2 linked regions of the Diceros bicornis minor genome follow. The protein of the gene in region 1 purifies or fractionates together with the protein of each later gene. This does not show direct contact. Links are inferred from orthologs where the notes say so. Each region holds a gene or a part of one and is shown on either strand. Other genes may lie near its edges.

Region 1 (8,086 bases):
TGTAAAGCAGCTCACGCCTAGGCCCCGGGACTTACGCAGTTTTTAAAAATGTAAACATCTCTCCACTGCACATGGAGAACTAGTATCCCCTGCCATAAATAAGTTAGTGAAACTAAAGCCAATGAAAATAAAACAATGCCAGTGCTTTAAAATTCCAGCTAGAAAACTGATCTACGGTGAAAAAAAAAAAACAAACCAAAAAACCCTGAATAGTGGCAGCCCCTGGAAGGGTGGGATGGGAATTGACTGGGAAGGGACATGAGGCAACTTTCCCTCCACAGAGGTGAGTTACTCTGGCATATGCCTTTGTCTTGGTGAATGTACATTTCAGATCTGTGCATATTATTACATGTAAATTTCACCTTCCAAACAAAAACTAAGAAAACAGCCATAAACGATCCTTGAACTCTAGGTAATGATATGCATGCTGAAGTGTTTAGAGGTGAAGTGGACTAACGTCCTTGTTTTATTCGTAATTTTTTTCCAGCTTTATTGAGGTATAATTGCCATATAACATTGTGTAAGTTTAAGGCGTATAAAGTGTTGATTTGATACACTTATATATTGCAAAATGATGACCGCCATAGGGAGCTAACACCTCCATCACGTCGCAGAATTACCATTTCTTTTTCATAGTGAGAACATTGAAGATCTACTCTCTTAGCAACCCTCAAGTATACGATACAGTATTGTTAACTATAATCACCATGCTGTGCATGAGACGCCCCAAATCTTCGACTTTCTTTGAAATGCATCAAAAAATAGGATGATAGATGGGTGGATAGAGATGGATATGCAATAAAGCAAAATATTAATAGTGGACTCTAGGTGTTGCGGATATGAGTATTCTCTACAATTCTTTCCATTTTTCTAAAAGTCCCCAAAATTTCACAACAAAATGCGGGGAAGAAAATTCTAACTAGATCTTGTGGCTTTCTGAAGGCTCTGCTTCTGAGCTCTGTTTAAAGAGGGAGATAAGCATTAGAAAATTGTTCAAGAGATATGAGCAAAAGAGAGTGAGCCTTTCTGTTTGAGGATAATAAAGGATTTCAAGAATTGCAAAAAGGTAAGACTTTCTCAGCATGTGGTTCAACGTTATTTAATGCACTGCCCAGAATAATCATCCATATCATATGGCCTGGAATAATGTGATGCTTTGTCTCCGGGACACATGTTTGGGAAAAACAGCATCTGTCCAAGCCCTGAGCCCCAACTGCTGTTTTCATAGGAGAACCTATCTTTCCAGTATTTCTTGTAAGTGTTCCTTGGAGAGGTCGTGGGGGCTTCTTGCACTAGAGGAAAACCTCCATGCTTTTCCTGTTCCGTGACTCTTCCTGGAAGGTGCTGGGGACACAATGGCTTCCCTGGGGCCCTGGCTGAGTGTAGGTGATGAACTTCTTGGCACTGGGGACAGGCCACTAAAGTTCTGTGGCCTCAGTTCCTGCATCTGCAAAATGGGGATGGTTCTGCTACCCTGCCCTCCCACCCCCACCCCCCACCCCCCACTTCTGTTCTGCTGGTGCTGCAAGGATTTCCTGGAGCATTAAGTGAAAAGCGCTCAGAACAGTGTCTCACTCATGGTGAGCTCACAATATAAACATTAGCCGTCCTTACTAATACTGTTATGATGAGCCATGCTCGGGGTGGGGGCGGGGAGCATGACCCAGACAGGAGAAAAGACTTCACGGTGGATGTGGCTTTTGAGTCAGTTTTCAAAGGAAGAAAATTTTACAAAGATGAGGAGGGAGGGTGGTATTCCAGAAAGAGGTCACTGTGAGAGCCAAAGCCTAGTGGCCTCGGTGGGAAATGCAGCTCCTGTCTGGGGAGCCAGCGCACAGCCCCACCTAGCTGCAGCGAGGGGCAGAAGGCTGGGGAGGGGAACGGCAGGGCGGGTGGGGAAGGGATCTGTGCTGGAATGTGCAGGGCCTCAAGGCAACTGCCCAGGAGTTTGCTGACAAAGGCTGGGAGGCTCCTCCCTGGTCTGGATTTCAGCCTTGCCTTTTCGCCTAATCTCTTTTCTGGCCCCTGGACCCCGCTCTCCAGCCACCATGACCTTCTGGCTGTTCAGACACATCAAGCTCTTTCTCTCACTTGCTTTTGTGTCTGCCTGAAATGCTGTTCCTAATACCTCTTCCCCCTCCTGCGGACTCAGTGCAAATGCCACCTCCTCCAGGATGCCTTCCCTGGCTTCCTAGTGAAGGGGAGGAAGACTATCCTTTACCCACTCTGGGTCCTTTCTGGCTGGGCTACAAATTAAATTGACATGAGACCGCATAGCAGGAGAAAATCCAACAAAGCTTTATAACGTACACATGGGAGAAACCAGGGAAACTGAGTTTCTCAACAAATGGCGGAGGTTTTCACCTTAAATAGCATATTCAGGTAGACAAAGGAGGATGTTGGGGGGGTGGGGAGTCAGCTATGGGAGATTACCAGAAAGCACAATAAACAAGAGTATGCACTGATAAGAGTTTCTAGAGATAAGGTCATCCCCACTTCTTCCTGGTACAGAGAGGGAGATATCTTTACAAATGGACATTTCCCTTCAACAGAACTTTGATAAGAATGGGCTTAGCAAGGACCCTCCCACTCTATCCATACACAGATTTAAATTCATTTAGGCAGTTAGTGGGAAAGGGGTGAGGTCAAAGTTTCTTTCAGAGAAAATAATCAAGGTGAAGAGACATATTTTGAGGGGGCCAATTCCGATCTCCCACTAGCTAAGGAGCTAAGGAGAATAACCCAGGTTATTCTCTTCATTGCATGCCTCCCATTCTGCAATTATCCTGCACATGTTTTTTACTTGCTTCTTATCTGACTGCTCCCAAGAGACTCTCAGCTCCATGAGGGCTGGCACTTTGCATCCCCAGCACCTAGAGTGCTGCCTGACCTCATAGATGCTCAGTAAATGGACGTCCTAAAGGAAGGACTAAAAGATTTTTAAACAGGGGAGCGAGACAACCTGACATGTTTTAAAAACCCCCCTCTGACTGCTGTGGGAAGAACAGACTGTGAAGTGAGGGCAGAGCAGGGGGATCTGGGAGCGGGAAATGCACAGGTCCAGGTGTCACTGACTACGGACCTCGAGAAAGTCAAAGGTGGGTTTGGAAGCAATTAACTGGTTTTTTTTTTTTTTTTTTGCTGAGGAAGATTAGCCCTGGGCCAACATCCGTGCCCATCTTCCTCTACTTTATATGGGACACTGCCACAGCATGGCTTGACAAGCAGTGCGTCGTCAGTGCACGCCTGGGATCTGAACCTGTGAACCTGGCCTCGAAGTGGAGCGCCCACGCTTACCGGCTGCGCCACCAGGATGACCCAGCAATTAACTGTTTTTCCAAGTTGTTTCTTTTCCTTTTGTATATTAAGGAGATGTAACCACCAGCCATCCTGAAACTGACCAAGGGAGGCACTCAAGGGAGATATAACCACCAGCCATGCTGAAACTGACCAAGCCTCACCACAAGAGCTACGCCCACGACCTTTGCCTTATTTTTAATGCAAAAATCTCTCCAGGTGGAGCTTAGGCCTCATGATGTGGAAGCATGTTCTCCAACTGAGCCTGTGCAATCGAATACCTGCCTCTCCCTTTTGAATATTCATTCCCCAACCAAATAAAAGTTCCTGCTTTCCTTGGTTCCCAGACGCCCTGACTTTGGAAATGATTCTTCATGGTCTCCTATTTGCTGCAAATACACTTTACTTTGTGAGACAACTTCCACTGGTGTAGTTTTATTTAACTTACCAGGAGGGGAGGCCACTTGGTTCGGTGTCACAGGGAGTGATGATGGGCGCCAGGATCAGGGTGGTGGCAGTGGAGGGAGTGAGACGTGGTCAGAAATTTGGGAGGGAGAAGAGACACAATAAGGGGAAGGGGCAGAGGGTGGTAAACAATGAGAAAGAGAGAGGAGCCCCTGACTTGTGGCTTTGATGATGGAGGGGGTGGGGGATGGAGACACAGGAGGAAGAGTGGATATGCGGAAAGAGGACAAACAAGTGTCGGGATGCCTGATGGACATCCCAGCGATGAAGTCCAGGAGGCAGTAATAATAATAATTATTGTAACTAGCACATGAGCTCCATGCCTAAGTTGTTCATCACTGGTCAGATATTTATTGAGCACAGGGACACAGCAGTGGTTGTGGCACACACAGTCCCTGCCCTCATGGGGCTGATGTTCTGTTGATGGAGACAAACGAAACAGATTAATGGGTCAAGAAAGAAACACATACTTTAATGTCAGGTAGCGATAAGTCCTGGGGGAGAGGGTGGAATAAAACAGGGTAAGTGGACAGACGAGGGGAGGAGACCATGTTGGAGAGTCTGACGCCCAGTAAGGATTTATAAATATTTGTTAATCAAAGACTTAAAGACAGAATGTGGACGGCTGATTTAGTGTGCGTTTAGGGACAAGATCTAGTTATCTTCCAAAGATTCCACGAGGTTTCTTCCCTGTTATACAGATGAAGGAAACTGATGCAGAACGGTATCGCAATGAGACACCAATACAGTGATGGAAAGTGCAACCGAGAGAGGAGAGGTGACCTCTAATGGAAAAGACCTCGGGGAGAGGCCCCCCAGACAGGGTCATTTATGGGGCGGGGAGGCAGAGCAGCGTGCACAGACCTATGACGTCATCGGGACGTTACATAGCGTAACATCACCTGGACGTAGCGCTATTTCCCTCCCCGGACAGGTCCTCAGGCAGTCGGGTACGGTCTGAATTAAGCCTCTCATTGGCTACTCGCTCCGTCAATCCGTTTCATTCTTCCCTTCTTCCGTCCCGCCTTCCTAAACCCGCCTTTGATAGGCTGGCGCAGCTGTCACTTCAGAAAGGGCCGCATTCCTTCCGCCTTTCTCCAGGAGACCAGGAGCGCGGAGGGCGGATCCTAGCGGCGCCCACCCCTGGGACTCTGCTTCCACCTCTGATTGGCTGCCCTGGGTGCCGGTCGCTACGCCACCCGCCGCAGATTAGCCATCCGGCCGCCGCTCTGCGCGGCGCCGGTTCCGCCCCCGTCGGGTGTTTGTGGTGGGGCTGCGGAGTCGCCGATCCCGCCGGAAGCACCAGGACAATGGGGACCCGGGACGACGAGTACGACTACCTATTCAAAGGTGTGGCCGGTGGGGCACAGACGGGCGAGGGCGCGGCGGCGAGGCGGCGGGCAGGCGGGCCGGCGGGCCGAGGTTGCGTTCCAGGCCGCTGGGCCCAGGCCGGAGCCCGGGGCTTGGGGCCCGGCGGGTCAGGCAGCCGGGAAGGCCGGGGTGGGCCAGGCTCAGTCAGCTTCGGGCCGGGGTGCGCGACCGTGCGGAGCGGGCGGCCCAGGGAGCCCTGGGGGCCCTGGATGAGCCGGGGCGGAGCTGGGGCACAGAGGGGGTGGGGCCCGGAGCGGTGGGAGAGGCCGTTAGGGGCGGGGCCTCAGGAGGGGCGGGGCCGCCCCAGCATTCGGCGGGCCGGGCTGGGTGGAAAGCTCCCTTCGTGGTGGGGGCGGGGCCTTGGAGGCGGGGGCTAGGCGGTAGTGGGCGTGTCCAAGAACTTGCTGGGGCCGGGCGCTTCACGGGGTGGGAGGGGCCAGACCTGATTGGTGGCAGCGCGTCTGGGGGCGGGGCCTTGGAAGGGCGAGGCGGACAATGGGGGTTGAAATGTGTGGGGGGGAGCCTGGATTGGGGTGCGGACCCCGAATTGCGTGGAGGGGCACGTGGGGGGACTGTGTGTGCTGGACCCGGGCCCCGTGTTTAACAGCAACAATTATATCTCTTAATTATTAGAACATTAACAGCACTGTCCAAATACCTGCGTTTTTCTAAGCACTTTATACTCATGTAGTCATTGAAATCCTCAAAACCATGTGAGGTCGGTATTATCCAGCCTTTCTCTTTATGGACCTGGAAACTGGCTCAGAGAGACGAGTGTTAAGTGTTGGAGCAGGACTTGAGCCTAGATCAGCTGTGGGCTTTACCACTTAGGAAGTGTGGCGGGGGGCGGGGGGGGGTGGCGCGGCTTGCAGCCAGGATCTGGGGCCGAGGTTGTCAGACTGCCTCCCCCAACACGTGCGCGCTGATGGCTGGGCCTCACCAACCCTGCCCCGGGGGTAGAGGGCTCTAAGAGCCTCAAGTAAGGCTGAGGCAGATCAGGCAGCCATTGCCCGCCTGGGGCCAGTGGGGAGCTCATTCACCCTGCCCCTCAAGCTGGGAGATTCCCTCCTGATTGGGGGGTCACTGGCTTCACAGTGCCTCTGTGCCAAGCTGGGCTTCGGTCAGGGCCTGTGCTGGGCTCCCTGGCTGACAGTGGCCACCCTTGAGGCTAACCCCTGGGCCCACGTGGGGCACCTTGGCCCTGCTGCCTGCGGGTCTGTCTCCCATGCCAGCTGTTGGCATCTTCCCCTCGATGGGGGAGCCTGGCCAGCCCTGAGAGTGTGGTCTGTGTCTGTCACTGCCCATTGTGTCTGTAGTATTATCTAGCATGTGGGGGCCTGGGGACCTTGGGGACCTGGACATTGGGGTGGAATGCTCCGTACCTGGGATATCCATGTGGCGAAAGGCTTCTGGGCAGAGGGGGTGCCCATGCAAAGGCCCAGGGTCGTCACACAGCTCCATGGGCTTGGCGAGATGCGTGCAGGCTGCTATGTCGCTGGCCAGTGAGGCTGTGTGGTCGGCAGGCATCAGGCCAAAGCCCTGGTGCTGCCGGCTGAGCCTTGGGGTCTCACCTAAGAGCGAGGGAAGCTCTATCAGGGCTCTGGGGACTGGTGACAGGTGGACCGGACTCCAGTCCTGCTGCACCTGGTGCCTGTCTTTGCTCTGCCCGCCCTGAGACATCTGCTCCCCAGGTCCGGGCTGGGCACTCACCCGGATGTGGCACTGCCAGGGCAGAAGGCATTCCCAGTGGCCACCTCCAGGTTTCTGTGGTCATTCCCCGCTTGTTATTTTCAACTGTTTGCTGTTATAAATAACCCAGGTCCAAGCGTTTGCACAAGTCATCTTTTGCTCTTTGGGTTATTTCCTTGAAGTTTGTTCCCAGAAGTACAGTTACTGGGTCAGGGGCAATGGAGCGGTCGTGTGCTTCCCGGGATGCATCTCCAGGGTCCGCTTCCTGGAAACACTGATCTGGCTCCTGTGGCAACTGGTACGTGGTGGGGGCGGGGGGTGCCTGCGCCACTGCCCTCCCCCTCTGGCCTCCTTTTTCTGAGTCGAGCAGGTGCCTTCCAGTCGGGGGAGCCCTTCAGGAGCGGAGAGGGCAGCGATCCTCTGCCCCCTGCCCTGTGCGCAGCCTCCCTCAGGCTTCAGTCACTTTCCCCTGGCCCTGCCCTGGGCACAGAGGGGCCACCCCTCTCCCTTGGGACACTGGCTGCCCCCTGTCCTGCCCTCCTTCAGTGCCTTGTGTTATTTGGCAGCCACATCATATCTTGGATCCCCTGACCTGCTCGGCTAAGGCCAACAGACCCCCGTTGGTGCTGTGTGCTGTTTATTTTCCTCCTTGCACATTCTGCCCTCCCCTAGGAATGAGGTTGTTTATTTGTAGCTAATTATAGATCCTTACATTTATCCTGCTAACATTTTATAACCTGGGACCATCTTCCCAGCCTGCCCATTGATCCCCAGGGGTCGCCCCTGACCTCTCCTCTGATGGACTGGCTGTGGGGTCCACAGTGGGTGCAGCTGTGTCCCCAGGGGCCACCGAGGCCTTCCCGGAGCCCCCAGGCACTCACCTGGCCTGTGAGGACGTGGCTGGTGTGGGAAGCTGCCGTGGTGGCCCAGGGCCCTCTCCTCTGGATTGGCCCCTGCCCCATCTAGGAGTCCTTCTGGGGAGGTGCCAGGAGCGAGTGGCAGCTGGCTCCCGGGAAACAGGCCAGCCCCAGTGCTCGGCCCCTCTGCTGGGTGCTCCTGAGGCAGCCTCCCCTCTCTAGCCCGGGCAGGGCCCCCCACCCAGCCCCCCTGGTCCAGGATCTGAGCACACCATCTTCCCCATTGCCAGTGGAGGCTCTGCCTGTGCCTTGACTTTGGGCCCCTGTCCTCTGCTCTCTGATTCCCTAGGGAATGGCTGTGGCAGGGTTGCCCCAAGTTCCAGTCGCTGGGGCCTGGGATGGTCAGG
Region 2 (8,088 bases), on another chromosome or scaffold:
TGGGGGTGTATCCATTCACTTTGAGAGACCAGGCCACTGGATGATTTTGAGATTTGCATGAATGTTACAGGGTTTTTAAGTAGCCTATTTTAAAAATTTACCCTATTTTAAAAATCTAACATGAAACAAGTTATTCTTTTATAGTGCAGGCAATCTTCAGTTCATCAGATGAAGGGCTAAACTAAGATTTGGGGGACTGCCTATTCCTTCCTCTCTACCATTCCTCATTCTCTCCCCAGTACCCCATTCCCCACTCACGATACCTTTCCCCCCATGTTGTCTTTCTTCATTTCATAAATTAAGCCCTATCATAAAGTTAAAGATAATTTATAATTTACTAAAATTTGAAATAATCGTTTGCCATTAAACCAAGAAAAACTCTACATGTCTAGTCTATGACCCCAAATAAATGACTTTATTGTTTATTTTTTGTGGATAACAATCAACTTTCTTTAGAAATCAAAGCAGATGCCACATTTACTCATACTGAACAGGGGAGTTAATGTCATGACATATTTGTCTAAGTGTTTCACATATGGTTCCTCAGGAGGCCTATTCCTTCTTTGTCTAGGATCATCTTGCTGGCTCCATCCTATGAGATAAAGCTAAGCATGACATATATAATACAGCATTTCTTAAGAAATGTTCATAAGGAGGCATTTGTTTACTGGAAAGAGCATAACTTCAGATCTTAGCTTTACGACTTTCTGTATGATCCTGAACATTTATTTAGTCCAGTTTTTTCAAACTGTAGATTGCAACCCATTAGTGAATTGTGAGACTGATTTAGCAGGATGTAAAACGGTATTTTTAATAATAAATAAATAAAATAGAATAGAAAGTATCAGAGTGCATTGCACATGGTAAGGGTAAGTATTGGTTCATGAAACTTTTATTTCAGTGAAGACATGTCTATGTGTTCTTCAGTGGTCAGAATATAAAATGTATTATTGTGGGTTGAAGGAAAACAATTTTGAAAAACAATGACTTACCCATTCTGAAGCTCAGTTTCCATAAAATGGGATAAAAATCTCTTTCACAGGTTGTAATGAGAAATAAATGAGATAATGTTTGTACTCATACACAGTAGGGGCTCGAGCAGTAACTGCGAGCTTCTTTTTCTTTTCTCTGAAAAAAGACCCATAATATCTATGGTTCAGGAAAAAAAAAATCACTCTATAATTTCTTCAACCACAACGGTGTTTAAAATAGAACGGGAGAGGGGCCGGCACCGTGGCTTAGTGGTTAAGTGCATGCGCTCCGATACTGGCGGCCCGGGTTTGGATCCCGGCGCGCACTGACGCACCACTTGTCAGGCCATGTTGAGGCGGCGTCCCACATACAGCAACCAGAAGGATGTGCAACTATGACATACAACTATCTACTGGGACTTTGGGGAGAAAAAGGGGGTAAAAAAAAAGGAGGAGAATTGGCAATAGATGTTAGCTCAGGGCCGGTCTTCCTCAGCAAAAAAAGAGGAGGATTGGCATGGATGTTAGTTCAGGGCTGATCTTCCTCACAAAAAAATATATGTGTATAACGAGAGCTATAGTATGACCTAGGTCCTCCAGTTTTACCAACTTTTGATGAATAAGCCAACTTCTTTCTCCAATTTCATGAAATTTAAGATAAATAAATGACATTACCTGACCCTGTTGGGACTTTCCTGCCCTCCCTACTTTCCTACCACACACATCCATACTTTCCCACACACATCCATACTTTCCCACCAAAGCAAGAGGCTTCACATGCACACAGGACAGTATCGGTTCCCATAGGGTCACATGTCATCCATGTGCAGCAGCTCCCTGGGACCTAAGATAGAGGTAAACAGTATTTTTTTTTTTTCCATCAAATGAGAATTTTAAAAAGGTTCAGTACAGTGAGGAATTTTAGAGAACATCATAAATGTTACACTTTTAATTTAATATGGGAAACAAAGAATAGCATTCAGTTTTATAATTTGACAGTTAAAGAGACTGAGGAGAAAAGAAGAAAAGCAAATAGGAAGGGGGGGAAGAAAAAATAATTTAGAGGGGGCCGGCCCCGTGGCTTAGCGGTTAAGTGCGTGCGCTCCGATAATGGCGGCCCAGGTTCGGATCCCAGGTGGGCACTGACGCACCGTTTCTCCGGCCATGCTGAGGCAGTGTCCCACATACAGCAACTAGAAGGATGTGCAACTATGACACACAAGTATCTACCAGGGCTTTGGGGAGAAAAAGGGGAAAAGAGGAGGAGGATTGGCAATAGATGTTAGCTCAGGACTGGTCTTCCTCACCAAAAAAAAAAAGAGGATTAGGCATGGATGTTAGCTCAGGGCTGATCATCCGCACACACAAAAAAATAATAATTTAGAATATTTATTTGTAAATATTTTTTTTTTCCCCCAAAGCCCCAGTAGATAGTTGTATGCCATAGTTGCACAGCCTTCTAGTTGCTGCATGTGGGACGTGGCCTCAGCATGGCCGGAGAAGCGGTGTGTCGGTGCGCACCCAGGATCTGAACCCGGGCCGCCGGCAGCGGAGCGCTCGCACTTAACCGCTAAGCCATGGGGCCGGCCCCTAAATATTTTTAATTTATTGATTCACTTATGGAAAAACTATTTTCCCAAACCAAAAAAAAAAAAAAATCAGTTGGCATTGTTTTACAGTTTTGGAAATCTTTTTAATGCCTGATTGGATTCTCATATCTGCTTCTGCATTCAATCTGTTGCTATACAGCCAATATATATATTTTTTCTATGTTAGAAACTAAGGATACAGCTAGTATACAAGGATGAATCCTTTCCTGCCTTGAGGAGCTCAGACTAGAGGAGTTTGGAGACTCAGAGAAACAAAGGGTAACCAAAAAGAATTCCAGAAGTCAGAAAGAAAAAGTCATAAAGAGATGCAAAGAAATTTACACATATGAGCCCTTAGAGCTATAAACATAGAAAACTTGAAACAAACTCTTCTACTTAATACCCTGTGTGTGTGTGTATGGGAGGGGGTCTCACTGGGTTAATAAAGGACTTATAACTGCCTGAAGCTATAAAAGTTCCTAGTAAAGTCTGAACAGAGATTTTCCTGAAATCTTGGTTTTTTCGTCATTGGAAAATAAACTTCCTATTATAAAAAGTAGGGCTGTCACATCTCTTTTTACAGTGTTTCAAAAAGTTGGTCATATGGCCCTTTGGAACCCTACCCCTCGAGGAGATGGATGTGTGAGGATGTGTGACATTTTAAACTCTAGGCTAAAGCAGGGTTATCACCTCTTGGTAGTTGCCTGACAGCTGATTGGAAGCTGGCCAAGAGCCGCTGGGCCTGACAGGTGGACTGGTGATTCCCCACTCCAGACCAGTGGTGACAAATTTAAACTATCTTTGGCACTCTCAGCTTCTTTCTCTGCTCATCTTTCATTACTGTATTCCTGCTTTAACCTAGCTTATCAGTCTGCCTTCTCCTCGTGATTTGAGCAAATTCACATTTCTATTCTTCAACATACAATTGTTTAGCCTTCAGAATGCTCTCTGCTCTTTCTTGTTCTGCTGGATCATATATAATATCTCTTCTAAAACCTGGCTCACAATATTTTTGAGAAGCCTTCCATTCATTCATTCACCATATACTGAGTGGCTATGCCTTCTGCATTAATTAACCATACTCCTCTATGTTCCTTCAGCAATTAGGTACTCCATTTGTTTTACTTTTGTACATATTGCATGTTTTACATAGATATCTTGAAGCTATTACTCTTTATTCTGCCTCCCAATTAAACATGGAAGCAGTGACCTCTTTTCTTTCATCATCTATCCTACATTATTGTCCCAATAATAGTAATACAGTACCATGGTAGGAATCTGTACTCTCTCTTTAAATCCTCACAAAACCCTGTAAAGTGTTAGTATTCCTGGATCCACTTTGCAGACATAGAAACTGAGGTTCAAAGAGGTTAAATCAGTCACCCCAAATCAAACAGCCTTTAAGTGGCAGGGAAGGTGGCATCCAAGATCTGGGCCCAAATAACTAGTTTCGATGTAGAATATTAAGTAAGGCCCATGAGGGATGGGACAGAGGTTCTGAGGGCGAGGGCTCCCAATCAATAATGCTAATAAACAAATACACAAAACCAACACCAGAGGTCCGTGAATAGGGCGTGTTTTTGTTTATTTGTTTTATACGGTTTTGTTGTTTCTGAAGAGGGGTTGTGCTCTCCAAGCCTCTGTCATTTCACTCACCTCTCCCAAACTGGCTCTGTTCAGCCCGTCTCCGGAGGGATCGATGTCCAGAGGCTGGAGGCCAAAGGGTGACCAGGCAGGTGGTGACCTCGGAGGCAGAACCGCGGCCTCCAGTCGCACCGCTAACGGCGAAAGATTGACCCGGTTGGATCACGCCATTCCCGAAGCGATAAGGAGCATAATCTTGGCATCGTCCTTAAAGATAAATAGAAAAAGGATAGTGAGGGTGACTATCCTCCCCGCCCGCCCTCTCTCTTTCTCTTCTCCCCACTGGGCCTCCAGTGTCCATCCCGCGGCCTGATTTACTAAGGGAGTCGTGTGGAACAAGGGAGGGGGGAAAGCCAATGATTGCAATTATGATAACTCGGTTGCTAACTCAAATAGACTCATTTACATATAATTCGCATGTTCGTGTACTTATGGAAGTACGCAGTATGTCTGTACTTCTCCTCTAACAGAGCACCCACGCCCGCCTGCCCCCTGCCGGTCTCTACTCTAGCCCAGGAGCCCCTGCCCCTTATCCAGCAAATTTTACTTCCCTGTCGGCTTCCTTAGCCTCGCAAACGCTATCACTTGTCTGCCTCCAAAGATTAGCCCCTCCTCCTACCCGTAGGCTCCTCCCTTCGTCCTCTCCTCCCTCCCCAGCTTCCAACTATCTCTTCCCCGCCCCTTTTTCTATTTCTGAACAGGCATGTTCCAGGCAGCTCACCCGACTCCTTAGAGTACCATGGGATCTGTAGGGTCCTGAGCGTCGGAGAAGCAGGAAAGCATATCCAAAGACGAAGGGCTTGCATTCAGAAGAAGAATCGAGCCCTGCTGGGGATTTTTTCTTTTTTTTTTTTTTGGTCTTGGTTGTGCGGACGGAGGAAGAGGAGGTTTTGCGGCCCAGTCGAACTTGAGGCAACGCGAAGGACCCTTCAGGCGGCGCCGAGGGCAGCCCCGCAGCCGGGGCCTGGTGCAGCCGCCGCGGCCGCTGTCAGGGAAGCGCAGGCGGCCAATGGAACCCGGGAGCGGCCGCTGCTGCTGAGGCGGCGGTGTCGGCAGCCCGACCCCGACCGCCCGCACTCCCTCCGCGGGGGTCCCCCGGAGGTAAGCGACTCCTACTGGGTGAGTCCTCCTTGTCCTGTGTGTTGGGGGGTCCCTTTCTAACCCTGTCCCGCATAGCCGCCCCCCGCCCCCACAGCTGTGTTCGACTAGAAAACTGCCCTCCCGGTGGCAGCTGCACCCCGGTCCCTTCTCCACCCTTTCCTCTCAAGCCTGGGGTCCTCCTCTGCTTTTTGGCTTCCTCTTCTATTTAGCTCCGCCCTCCGTCCCGGGGATTCCCCCCTCCCTCACTCTTATCCTTGTTGCCTCCGTCCCGAATTATCTTCTCTTAAGTCGTGAACTCTTTCCACATCAGGACGCCTTTTATAATGTCGACCCTCGTTTGTCCTTCCTCGTCGTGTGTGCTCCTGCCCCAAACCATTCTCATGGCCTCCACCTTTATCCCTTTTCCTGTTTTGCCTCTTTCCTCCGATGTTTCTGTGCAACCCCAGCACTGGGTTCTCATTTCCCTGGGCTAAAGATTGTAGCCCTCTCTTCCTCTGCTGCTTCTGATTCCATTACCTCACTGCCACCCACCCACCCTGCTCCTGGCTTCCAAGAATTGCCTATTCCCCTTTCCTTAAGGGATCTCAGGCCCTCATCACCATTCCCAAAGTACAATTTGCATTCTACTTTGACCTTAATCCTTACGCTTTTTCTCAGGAGTGCTTTATGATCCCTGTAACTTTCTTTAGCTTCCCTTTCCTCAATCCTCCAACCTCTGGAGGTTTGTTCCTATAGAAGAGAGAGGATCTGACAGTGTCCCTTCCCATTAAAGATTTCCAACTTTGACACCTTCCCTTTTTTTTTTAATTTTTATTTATTTATTTTTTCCCCCCAAAGCCCCAGTAGATAGTTGTATGTCATAGCTGCACATCCTTCTAGTTGCTGCATGTGGGACACGGCCTCAGCATGGCTGGAGAAGCGGTGCGTCAGTGCACGCCCGGGATTCGAACCCCGGGCCGCCAGCAGCGGAGCACGCGCACTTAACCGCTAAGCCACGGGGCCGGCCCATACACCTTCTCCTTTGAGTTTCAAGGATTTTGCTGATCCTTGTGAAACTTGGTTCTGTTTTCCTTTATGGTCTTTATGTGTTCTCTGTCACACTGTTTATCTCCACATGTCACGTATTTCAGGATCAGCTAAACCTTGAACTAAGAAGAAAATGTGTTGGGAGGAAGGGGAGCCTCAGCTCTCTCAGGCTTTTCTGGACAGAGGGTGTTTCTGAAGGATGGAGCAAGTTTTGAAGTCCCTATCAGATTACACTTTGTTGACTACTCAGGATCAGCCACTAGGAGGGATGAACAAGCCTGCATGGGAACTGAATGAGGTTGTGAGAAGTTTTGTTTTGGGTTATTTAATTTTAGGCTTGTCTTAAAGGGATCACAGAATAGAGTGTCTTCCCACCCCTGTCCAGATCCAAGAGGAATCAGTTTACTGTCTGTGGCTTACTAAAATAGTTTCGGTTGATTCCATAAGCGCTTAGGCCTGGGGTGGGATTGGGGCTAACTGGGAAAAGGAACATGAGACAATGGAAAGAGCTTGTACATTCAGAATCAGGACACCTAGGTTCAGCATGTGACTTCCTCGCTTGACCTCTAGAGTGACCTTTTTGGGAAAATGGCCCACTCTATAAGCATCAGTGCAGTAATAAGCTAATAACAGGATGTGGGTTGGGGGGGAAATCAGACTTGGTTTATTTGTTTACAAAACATTCTTAGTTCCTCAGACAAAAGGTATTTATTAGTAGTGGTTTAGTTGTCCTGAGAATTTTCCTTCATCTTGGTCTCTCTGTTGGGTCGTTCTAGTCTACGACCATGGGAGTAAGTCAGTTTGAGAGACAAACTCTAGGCCTGCTTCTTTCATCTACCTTGCTTTTTTTCCCACTGCATTAAGTTGCTGAGCACCTGTGCTGTTCCTCTTATACTTGAACCATAACTCCAGATTCTATAGGTTGAAAGTATGTTTGTAGAAAAGCCCTTTGAGGAAGCTGGCTGGAAAAGAGAACTTGGAGTGAGTTGAGACTTAGGAAACTAGTTGCTCCCTTTATGCCATGTCTCTCTCGGCCTGCAATAGCGAAGAGGGCACGTGAAGTTCCATTCATCTTCTGGCTCTAGGCCTGTTTGAAAGTAATCATGCTACCTTGTCCCACTTTTCCCTTATCTCCTTCCTCATTACCCAGAGTGTAGTCTACTCATAATCCCCCTTTTTAGGAGCAACTTCACTCCTTGGAAGCACTCCCAAAGAGAAATCATATTTCCCCTAGTTTCCCTACTTCCTTCTCAGAGCTGAGTCCACACTGCATGAGAACATGTTTGCTGAACACCATCCAAAGCAGCAAATTGAGATTCTTTCATTTGGGGAAGAAGTTTGGGAGAAACCTTTCAGTAATCGGCATGAGACAAGAGAGGGCCTAGTCTACGCGCATTTGGGGCTTTCAGCAGGGAGGAACAGTTGAAAGAGAGGTGAGCATGCAGGTTGCTTTCTTTGCCATCTGTCTGTTTCAGCAGGGGCTCTCAGAGCTGGCTTGGGCTGTCTGGCTGGAATCTGCTTATACCAGCTCCATGGCCCTGCACAGAGAGTTCTCAGCCTGATTCAATATTGACTTAACTATCCTGAGACCACTACCCTCCCTACCTCCTGCTGGTACCTTAAGAATGCCCTCTCCCCTGATGCCAGCCCCCCTTGGGGCCTTGGGTAAGCATTTACCTGGTGTCTGCTAGGGCTTGAGCCTGCTTGACTGCTCGGTCTTACGTTTCTACAAGGAAAAAGTAGTACTCAGACCAGGG

What was found.
Region 2: the proteins of RAB11B (region 1) and PI4KB purify together in Homo sapiens (co-immunoprecipitation; 3 studies listed by BioGRID and IntAct, with this or other methods). This does not show direct contact. The link is inferred for Diceros bicornis minor from reciprocal best matches to the Homo sapiens genes RAB11B and PI4KB.

The regions. Positions count from the first base shown.
Region 1 is NW_026691615.1:317,863-325,948, reverse strand, and holds the start of RAB11B (ras-related protein Rab-11B), read left to right. Parts: upstream 1-4,998; 5' UTR 4,999-5,072; coding exon 5,073-5,112; intron 5,113-8,086. UniProt on the Homo sapiens protein: The small GTPases Rab are key regulators of intracellular membrane trafficking, from the formation of transport vesicles to their fusion with membranes.
Region 2 is NC_080743.1:55,590,169-55,598,256, reverse strand, and holds the start of PI4KB (phosphatidylinositol 4-kinase beta), read left to right. Parts: upstream 1-4,963; 5' UTR 4,964-5,305; exon of another isoform or gene 5,306-5,323; intron 5,324-6,435; 5' UTR 6,436-6,624; coding exon 6,625-6,629; intron 6,630-8,088. UniProt on the Homo sapiens protein: Phosphorylates phosphatidylinositol (PI) in the first committed step in the production of the second messenger inositol-1,4,5,-trisphosphate (PIP). May regulate Golgi disintegration/reorganization during mitosis, possibly via its phosphorylation.